2 linked regions of the Ovis aries genome follow. The protein of the gene in region 1 purifies or fractionates together with the protein of each later gene. This does not show direct contact. Links are inferred from orthologs where the notes say so. Each region holds a gene or a part of one and is shown on either strand. Other genes may lie near its edges.

Region 1 (3,823 bases):
TCTCCCTTTATCCCTTGCCTTTCACTTTTCTTCCTTCCTCAGCCATTTGTATAGCCTCCTCAAGCAACTACTTTGCCTTCTTGCATATTTTTCTTGGGGATGGTTTTGATCACCACCTCCTGTACAATGTTATAAACCTCCATCCATAATTCTTCAGATCTCTCTACCAGATCTAATCCCTTGAATCTATTTGTCACCTCCACTGTATAATCGTAAGTGGTTTGATTTAGGTCATACCTGAATGGCCTAGTGGTTTTCCCTTTCTTCAATTTAAGCCTGGATTTTGCAGTAAGGAGCTGATGATCTAAGCTGTGCCGACTGTATAAGGATTCAGGGTGAAACAGTAGAGATAATAAGTACTCAGATTCTAGATATATTTTGACAGTAGAACCAAAGATTTTTATTCAAGGATTGCTGTGTGGGGAGAGAGAGAGATTGGAGACAAGTATGATCTCAGGATTATTAACCTCAGGACCTAGAAGGATTTAGGATGATGGAGCATATTAATCACTGATGTCTTACTTTTGCCATTAGCAACTATTGTTGTTTGCTTACTCAAATAAAATACTATATTTGAACAGATTTTGGACCTCAGGAAATCTTGAGGGAAGAGGAGTGTACATGTGAGGTCTGGGGTTGGTAATTTTAAATCTATACTTGACATACCCTGTATCTAAAAGTGAAGAAATTGTGGTAGGCAGGAATATCTGATTGCTAAGACATTTTACAAGCAAAGAGGTAGAAAGAAACCAAAAGTCAGCTTTACCTTTGCAGTTTTCTTAGGACCTGGAGGTGGCATCTGCAAGTACTGTTGAAATTCATGTTGCTGTCCTAAAAAATTCAAAGCATTGATCATGCTGCACATAATGTTCTGAGTCTTCTATATCTAGATCCCCAGTTCAGTTCAGTTCAGTCGCTCAGTCATGTCCGACTCTTTGTGACCCCATGAATTCCAACACAGCAGGCCTCACCATCTCCCAGAGTTCACTCAGACTCATGTCCATTGAGTCCGTGATGCCATCCAGCCATCTCATCCTCGGTCGTCCCCTTCTCCTCCTGCCCCCTCAATCCCTCCCAGCATCAGAGTCTTTTCCAATGAGTCAACTCTTCACATGAGGTGGCCAAAGTACTGGAGCTTTAGCATCATTCCTTCCAAAGAAATCCCAGGGTTGATCTCCTTCAGAATGGACTGGTTGGATGTCCTTGCAGTCCAAGGGACTCTTGGAAGTGAAAGAGGAGAGCGAAAAAGTTGGCTTAAAGCTCGACATTCAGAAAACGAAGATCATGGCATCTGGTCGCGTCACTTCATGGGAAATAGATGGGGAAACAGTAGACACAGTGTCAGACTTTATTTTTGGGGGCTCCAAAATCACTGCAGATGGTGACTGCAGCCATGAAATTAAAAGACGCTTACTCTTTGGAAGAAAAGTTATGACCAACCTAGATAGCATATTCAAAAGCAGAGACATTACTTTGCCAACAAAGGTCCATCTAGTCAAGGCTATGGTTTTTCCTGTGGTCATGTATGGATGTGAGAGTTGGACTGTGAATAAGGCTGAGTGCCGAAGAATGGATGCTTTTGAACTGTGGTGTTGGAGAAGACTCTTGAGAGTCCCTTGGACTGCAAGGAGATCCAACCAGTCCATCTAGATCCCCAACTTCAGCCCAAAGTTTGTGTTCAATGTATGTTTAAATCAGTGAAGAAAACATTTCATGATGTCCTACTTTTTAACTAGATTTTGTTTTATTGTTTTTAGGTACAGGTAGCAGATGTGTTCCTTTAATTGATAAAGGAAAAGTTTGATCAAGATCAGATTTATTTTATTATATTGGGGTTTTGGGATTATGGGTTTGTTTTTTGGAGTAAGCCTCTAATTTCATGTAATGTTTAGGCATGCAAGAATGTAAAATCATTATATTGCCACTGATTTCTTATTTTTCCTTTTTTTCCTGCTATTTGCTTATACATCCTTGCACATTCCTCAGAGTGTAGTCAAACACAAAAGACAGAAGGGGAGAATACTTTCTCTTTTCTTAAGTCTTTTTTCTCTTTACTTAAGTCAAGTCTATCAAATCAGAGTATGTTGCAGAGCCATGAATTAAATAAAGGTCATTATGGGTATACTACTGGAAAGCCGAATTTTAAATAGTACTTAAAATTAGAATATTTAATATTATTTAAATAAATAGAGTGTAATATTGATTTATTCACTATAGATGTGTGTCAAATATTTATTGTTTACTGAACATTTGCTCTGTGCCAGATATTTGGTTATCTCAGGCCTTTAACAATTCAGTGAAGGTGGTATGATTTTCCCTGTTTCACAGATGAAGTTTAGAGAAGTTAAAATGTTTGCTCAAGTCAGATATAAAGCAGTATGTGGCAGAGGTAACATTCAAACGTAAGTTTTTCTACTTCAGACCCCATGCTTACAACTATGATTATATTTTAGTAACTCCACTTAGGGCTCTTGAAATGGAGATATTAGTAAGATGTATTTAGGTCTTGCCAGTCCCAATTTTTAAGAAAAAGGAATGGCAATTGGTAAATGGAATGTGAAAAGTGGTCACTACCCATTCTTTACCAGTAGATGGTAGCATCAAATTGAAAACAATGTGTTTGAAAGGGAACCGTCAGAGCAAGTAATGTGTGTGTTCTTTCAGAGCAAGACGGATGAGAGATTAGTGAAGTCTAGTGTAAATTAAAAGTGAGAATTGCCTTTGGTATTATGACAGGCAGCCCAGATATTAGGACCAGTGAGAGCAAATTAACAAAATTATTCCTGGAAAAAGAAAATAATTCCTGGAAAAATACCTTGTAAAAAGAAAAAATGTTGGCTTTTTGTTTTTCTTTTATTAAAAATTGACATTGTTCTTAGTTTTCAGATGCTTCAAGTGTTGCCCACAGAGAGTTGTTTGGATTATGTGTTCCTCAGCTAGACTCAATAAATGCTAACAATGGATAAGTGCCAACACATTGGGCAGTTGCGGCTTGCTCAAGACCATTCCATCCTCAACCCGCAGAAGTGGCGTTGTGTGGACTGCAATACGACTGAGTCGATTTGGGCTTGCCTTAGCTGTTCTCATGTTGCCTGTGGAAGATCTATTGAAGAACACGCACTCGGGCACTTTCAAGAAAGTAGTCATCCTGTTGCATTGGAGGTGAATGAGATGTATGTTTTTTGTTACCTTTGTGATGATTATGTTCTTAATGATAATGCAACTGGAGACCTAAAGTTACTACGAAGTACATTAAGTGCAATCAAAAATCAAAATTATCACTGTACCACTCGTAGTGGAAAGGTTTTACGGTCTATGGCTACAAGTGATGATTCCTATTTCTTACATGATGGCACCCAATCTCTGCTTCAAAATGAAGATCAAATGTATACTGCTCTTTGGCACAGGAGAAGGATACTCATGGGTAAAATCTTTCGAACTTGGTTTGAGCAGTCACCCATTGGAAGAAAAAGGCAAGAACAATTTCAGGAGAAATTAGCAAAAAGAGAGGTGAAGAAAAGACGACAAGAACTATTAGAGCATCAGGCTAATGCAGAATTAGAAAGTATGCCTCCCAGAAAGAGTTTACGTTTACAAGGTCTAGCTCAGTCCACCACAGTAGAAATAGTTCCTGTACCGCTGCAAACCTCAGCATTGCCAGCAAAAGATAAAGTAGTATCTACCTCAGAAGATGTAAGACTGAAAAAAGCTAGTGACTCCTCTGTTAAACGAAGGCCAACAGTAACTCCTGGTGTAACAGGATTGAGAAATTTGGGAAATACTTGCTATATGAATTCTGTTCTCCAAGTATTGAGTCATTTGC
Region 2 (3,823 bases), on another chromosome or scaffold:
AAACAGCCATGACAGTAACATTTCAATGGATGTCCAGAGAAATTTCCTCTTGCGCACACTCCTATAGATTGTGTGTGTGCGCACACTTCTTCCATCTATGATAAATGCAGCCCAGGGTACCACAGATACACGCATGTATTAGTTCAAGTATCCTGCAGACACAAAGCAGCAGGTTCATCAGCTATATTAGCTCCGTTTCTAATAAACCAGAATGGTGAGTGACATACCACACACAGCAAGACCATCTCAAAAGATCAAATCTTACTTTTCCTTTAGCTCTTCTGCTGTGCCCTTATCTGGAAACATTGAGGAAATAGCTTCAAAAATTTTATCAGAAGGAAATTTCCGAGGTGGACGGCTTTCTTTATCTAAACAGGGAAATGCGAAAGGAAAAAAGAATGAAAGTGAACGAGCTCACCAATGTTTCATTTTGTCTACACTTAACAATGCTGATTTCTCAAGAAATTATCAACTCTGTGTCTCTCTCACTTCTAACCTATTTTACAAGTATCTGGAATGCTGGTGGGTCAGACAAAACTCAAAATCAAATATGCAAAGTTTCAAGTGCACCGGGAGGCAGAAAAACCCAGGCTCTGATCCCAGCTCAGCCACTGACTGGTACTGTGACCTTATCCCGTCACCGACCCACCTGCATGTGTCATCTGTAAACGAGGGCCCACATGATCGCTAAGGCACTGATTATGAGAATGGTACGCTTCTTTGAAACTACAATTTTTCCCAAAATCCTTCTATGCTGACTTCATGTCAAGTCTCTTCCAACCCCGGCTCTAAGTTGGGACCCTCTAATTTCTCTGGTAATCCGTAATTAGTATACAAGTTAGAGCATGTGCCCTGGGGTCAATCAGAGCTGGTTTCCAACACAGAATTTTCTGGGTTCTCTTTCTTCCCAATGCTGTGATCTTAAGTTACTTCACCTCACTGAATCCATGTCAACTATGAAGTGGATCTGAGGATAAAATCCACCTTAATCCACATGCAATATTAGGAGGATTAAATGTCTATACACATATAAAGTGATATAAATTAACAAGCACATAACCTGCACATAGTCAAAGACTGATGTTACATATTACAATAATTAAGATAATTCTCCAGGGAAACCTAAAAACTGTACATTCTTTTGCTAGTCAAGGGAAATAAAAGACTCACAAGTGCAGGATGAAATGTTACAAACAGTATTCTAATTTTGATTATACTACCCCTGATGTGATATTTAACAGAAGAAAAAAGAAGAAAAGTTTACCTGTATTCTTATTTTTTGAAAAAACGCTGATATGGCTACACACAAACCTAACAAGACAGATGTACCTTCTCGACTCTCCTCTAGATCTTTCTGTTTTTCTTCTCTTTCATCAGGATCATCTCCGTCATCATCGTCATCATCATCATTGTACTGACCAAGAGCATTCACCAGCTCCACAAAAATTTCATCATTTATAAACCCACATTCTGAAATTCATCAAATCAAATATCAGAAATACACAGAAGTATATCATGCTTTTTTCTAATTTGTAAGAAACAACTGGAGCCTATCAATCGGCACTACAACACCATAATTATTATAAAATTGGGGAGAAAGGTCATTTCCAGGACTGGCCTCAGGCAAAGCTGGAAGTAGAATTTACCCTCAACACCTGTCATTTTCACAAGTTTCCAGTGCCAGCGACCACGGCCTAATTCTCCAGAAACTAAACACGGCCTTCGCCTCTCTCTGAACATCATATCCACCAGACTGCGCTGTCCACTCGTGAGGGGATGAGAGGCTATTACATGCCACCCTCCTGCCAGGCCCTTTAACAGGTCTCCTGATAATGCACGAAGCTGTGGTTCTAATGTCAGGACTTCAGGTCCTGTGGTGGCCTAGCAGAGAACGTCATTTTGATCACAAGGCCTTTTGGAGCCCATGTTACATAAGCAGGGCCCTAATTCTAACCCATTTCATTGCTAAAGAACCTTAAAATCTATATACATTCAAAGAATTCTATTAAATTTGCATGTGATTGACACAGTTTTTTGATAACCAACTATGAATAATTTCCAAGCGGCATATACAATCCTTCTATTTAAAAATAGATAGGGAAAACACTTAAAATTTTAGCCCAGGCCAATCCAGCAGTTATAGTTTTTAAAAAATCTTTTTCATACTGACATTTGAAAAAACAAATCAAAATATCAATTCTCTGGCCCTTTTTCCAAGAGAATAAACACATGGCTCACCTCTATCCCCGTGTACTTTTCCATCATAATTTTTTATTAGTTCTTCAATGAAAGTCCCATCCTGGTCTAAAACTTCATCCCCCATGTACGGAATGTTATGTAAAACAGTTTCATCTTCCACCTAAAAGTGAAATAAATAAATACATTTAAAAATAGACACATCCTAAGTACCAACATTTTTTAAAAAGGAAATGTAATATAACTGAAATACAGTATTTTTTCCTAAGCAGATGTCCATACCCAGTTCTCCAGATCTAAAATGGGAGCAAACTCTAAAAGCTACAAAGAAATAAATGATGCTTCTCATCAATATCTGAGAAAACTGTTTATAGGGAAAAAACTTAAGAAAAAATACTCTATTACAGAATCAATCACTACAATTTATCATCACTTCATGTCCCTCTAAAACAGGAACACGCCACAAGTTATGGTGTGGCCCATCAACCATTTGAAGACATGTTCCTGCTTCAGGCGTTTAAAAGCATCTCAGGTCGACAAAATACAGCTTAGCAAAGCCAACCATAAATAACAATGCCTCAAAAGGAAAAAAACTAAGTGAGGACTTCCAAACTTCACTTGATCAATTTATCATAGTCAACGTAATAAATTCTAGGCATGTAAAATATGGATGGTTCATTACAGGTTATGCCAAAGGATTTACTCTCATTCATAAAATAGGAACATTCTACAATAACAAAATGTTTCAATACTATGAACAAGACTTATCAAACCTGACAGTGCTAATAAAGATGGCAGATGAGTTTATATCACAGTTTGGAAGATGCCAGGAAAGAAAGGGGGTGCTGGCTGAGCAGGAAAGAGCCAGTCAAAGAAAGTTCAGAGAGGACACAGGACTTCAAGAAAACAAGGGACAGGAAGCTGATGTTCTTGGGGGAAGAGAACTTTCAATAAAAAATGTTGAAGAGTAATTATAGATAAAGACACAACGTTTCTGAAGTCCATATCTAAATACGGAGACTTATTTAAAAAAAGGATAGGTCTCAGTATGAAGAGGCCTTTGAACAAGGTATTGATTAAAAACAGAATTTTAGAAAGAAATTGTGATAACAGAACAGACTGGTGAAGATTGAAGAGAGGAAATGGCAACAATTTAAGTGTGAGGTGCCTCAGGCTGGCCCATGACTGACACAGAGGAAAAGGCTGGGAAAAGGCCAGGACACACAGGAGCTGTCAGGTAGGAGCAGACAGGAAACAGGAAAACACAGGGAGTTTTTCAAATAATTCCTACATAACAAATTCAGGACAGGTGCAGAATTCACAAAGATCACAGTACCTTAGACAAACAAAGAAAAGGCAAACTGGGAGGAAAAGTGCACATGGCATGTAAAATGAAAATGTAGGTGTTGATGTACTGTTCTATTCAGAGCCAACATCATATACAACTCGAGCCTTGCTGCCAGCACACCTCACCTGCACTAAACCCCATTTAAAACTGGGAAAGTTCATTATTTTGGACACAAGCCAAAAGTAAATGACAGTTGGCTATTTTTTGTCTTCCCAATTATATCCATATAACCTTTGCACTGCAGGACATACCCTAGCCATAAAAGAGAAGAGTCTGCCT

What was found.
Region 2: the proteins of USP44 (region 1) and EZH2 purify together in Homo sapiens (affinity purification with western blotting; 3 studies listed by BioGRID, with this or other methods). This does not show direct contact. The link is inferred for Ovis aries from reciprocal best matches to the Homo sapiens genes USP44 and EZH2.

The regions. Positions count from the first base shown.
Region 1 is NC_056056.1:131,659,090-131,662,912, reverse strand, and holds part of USP44 (ubiquitin carboxyl-terminal hydrolase 44), read left to right. Parts: intron 1-2,879; 5' UTR 2,880-2,949; coding exon 2,950-3,823.
Region 2 is NC_056057.1:113,175,657-113,179,479, forward strand, and holds part of EZH2 (histone-lysine N-methyltransferase EZH2), read right to left. Parts: intron 2,360-3,823; coding exon 2,239-2,359; intron 1,471-2,238; coding exon 1,330-1,470; intron 369-1,329; coding exon 266-368; intron 1-265. UniProt on the Homo sapiens protein: Polycomb group (PcG) protein. Catalytic subunit of the PRC2/EED-EZH2 complex, which methylates 'Lys-9' (H3K9me) and 'Lys-27' (H3K27me) of histone H3, leading to transcriptional repression of the affected target gene.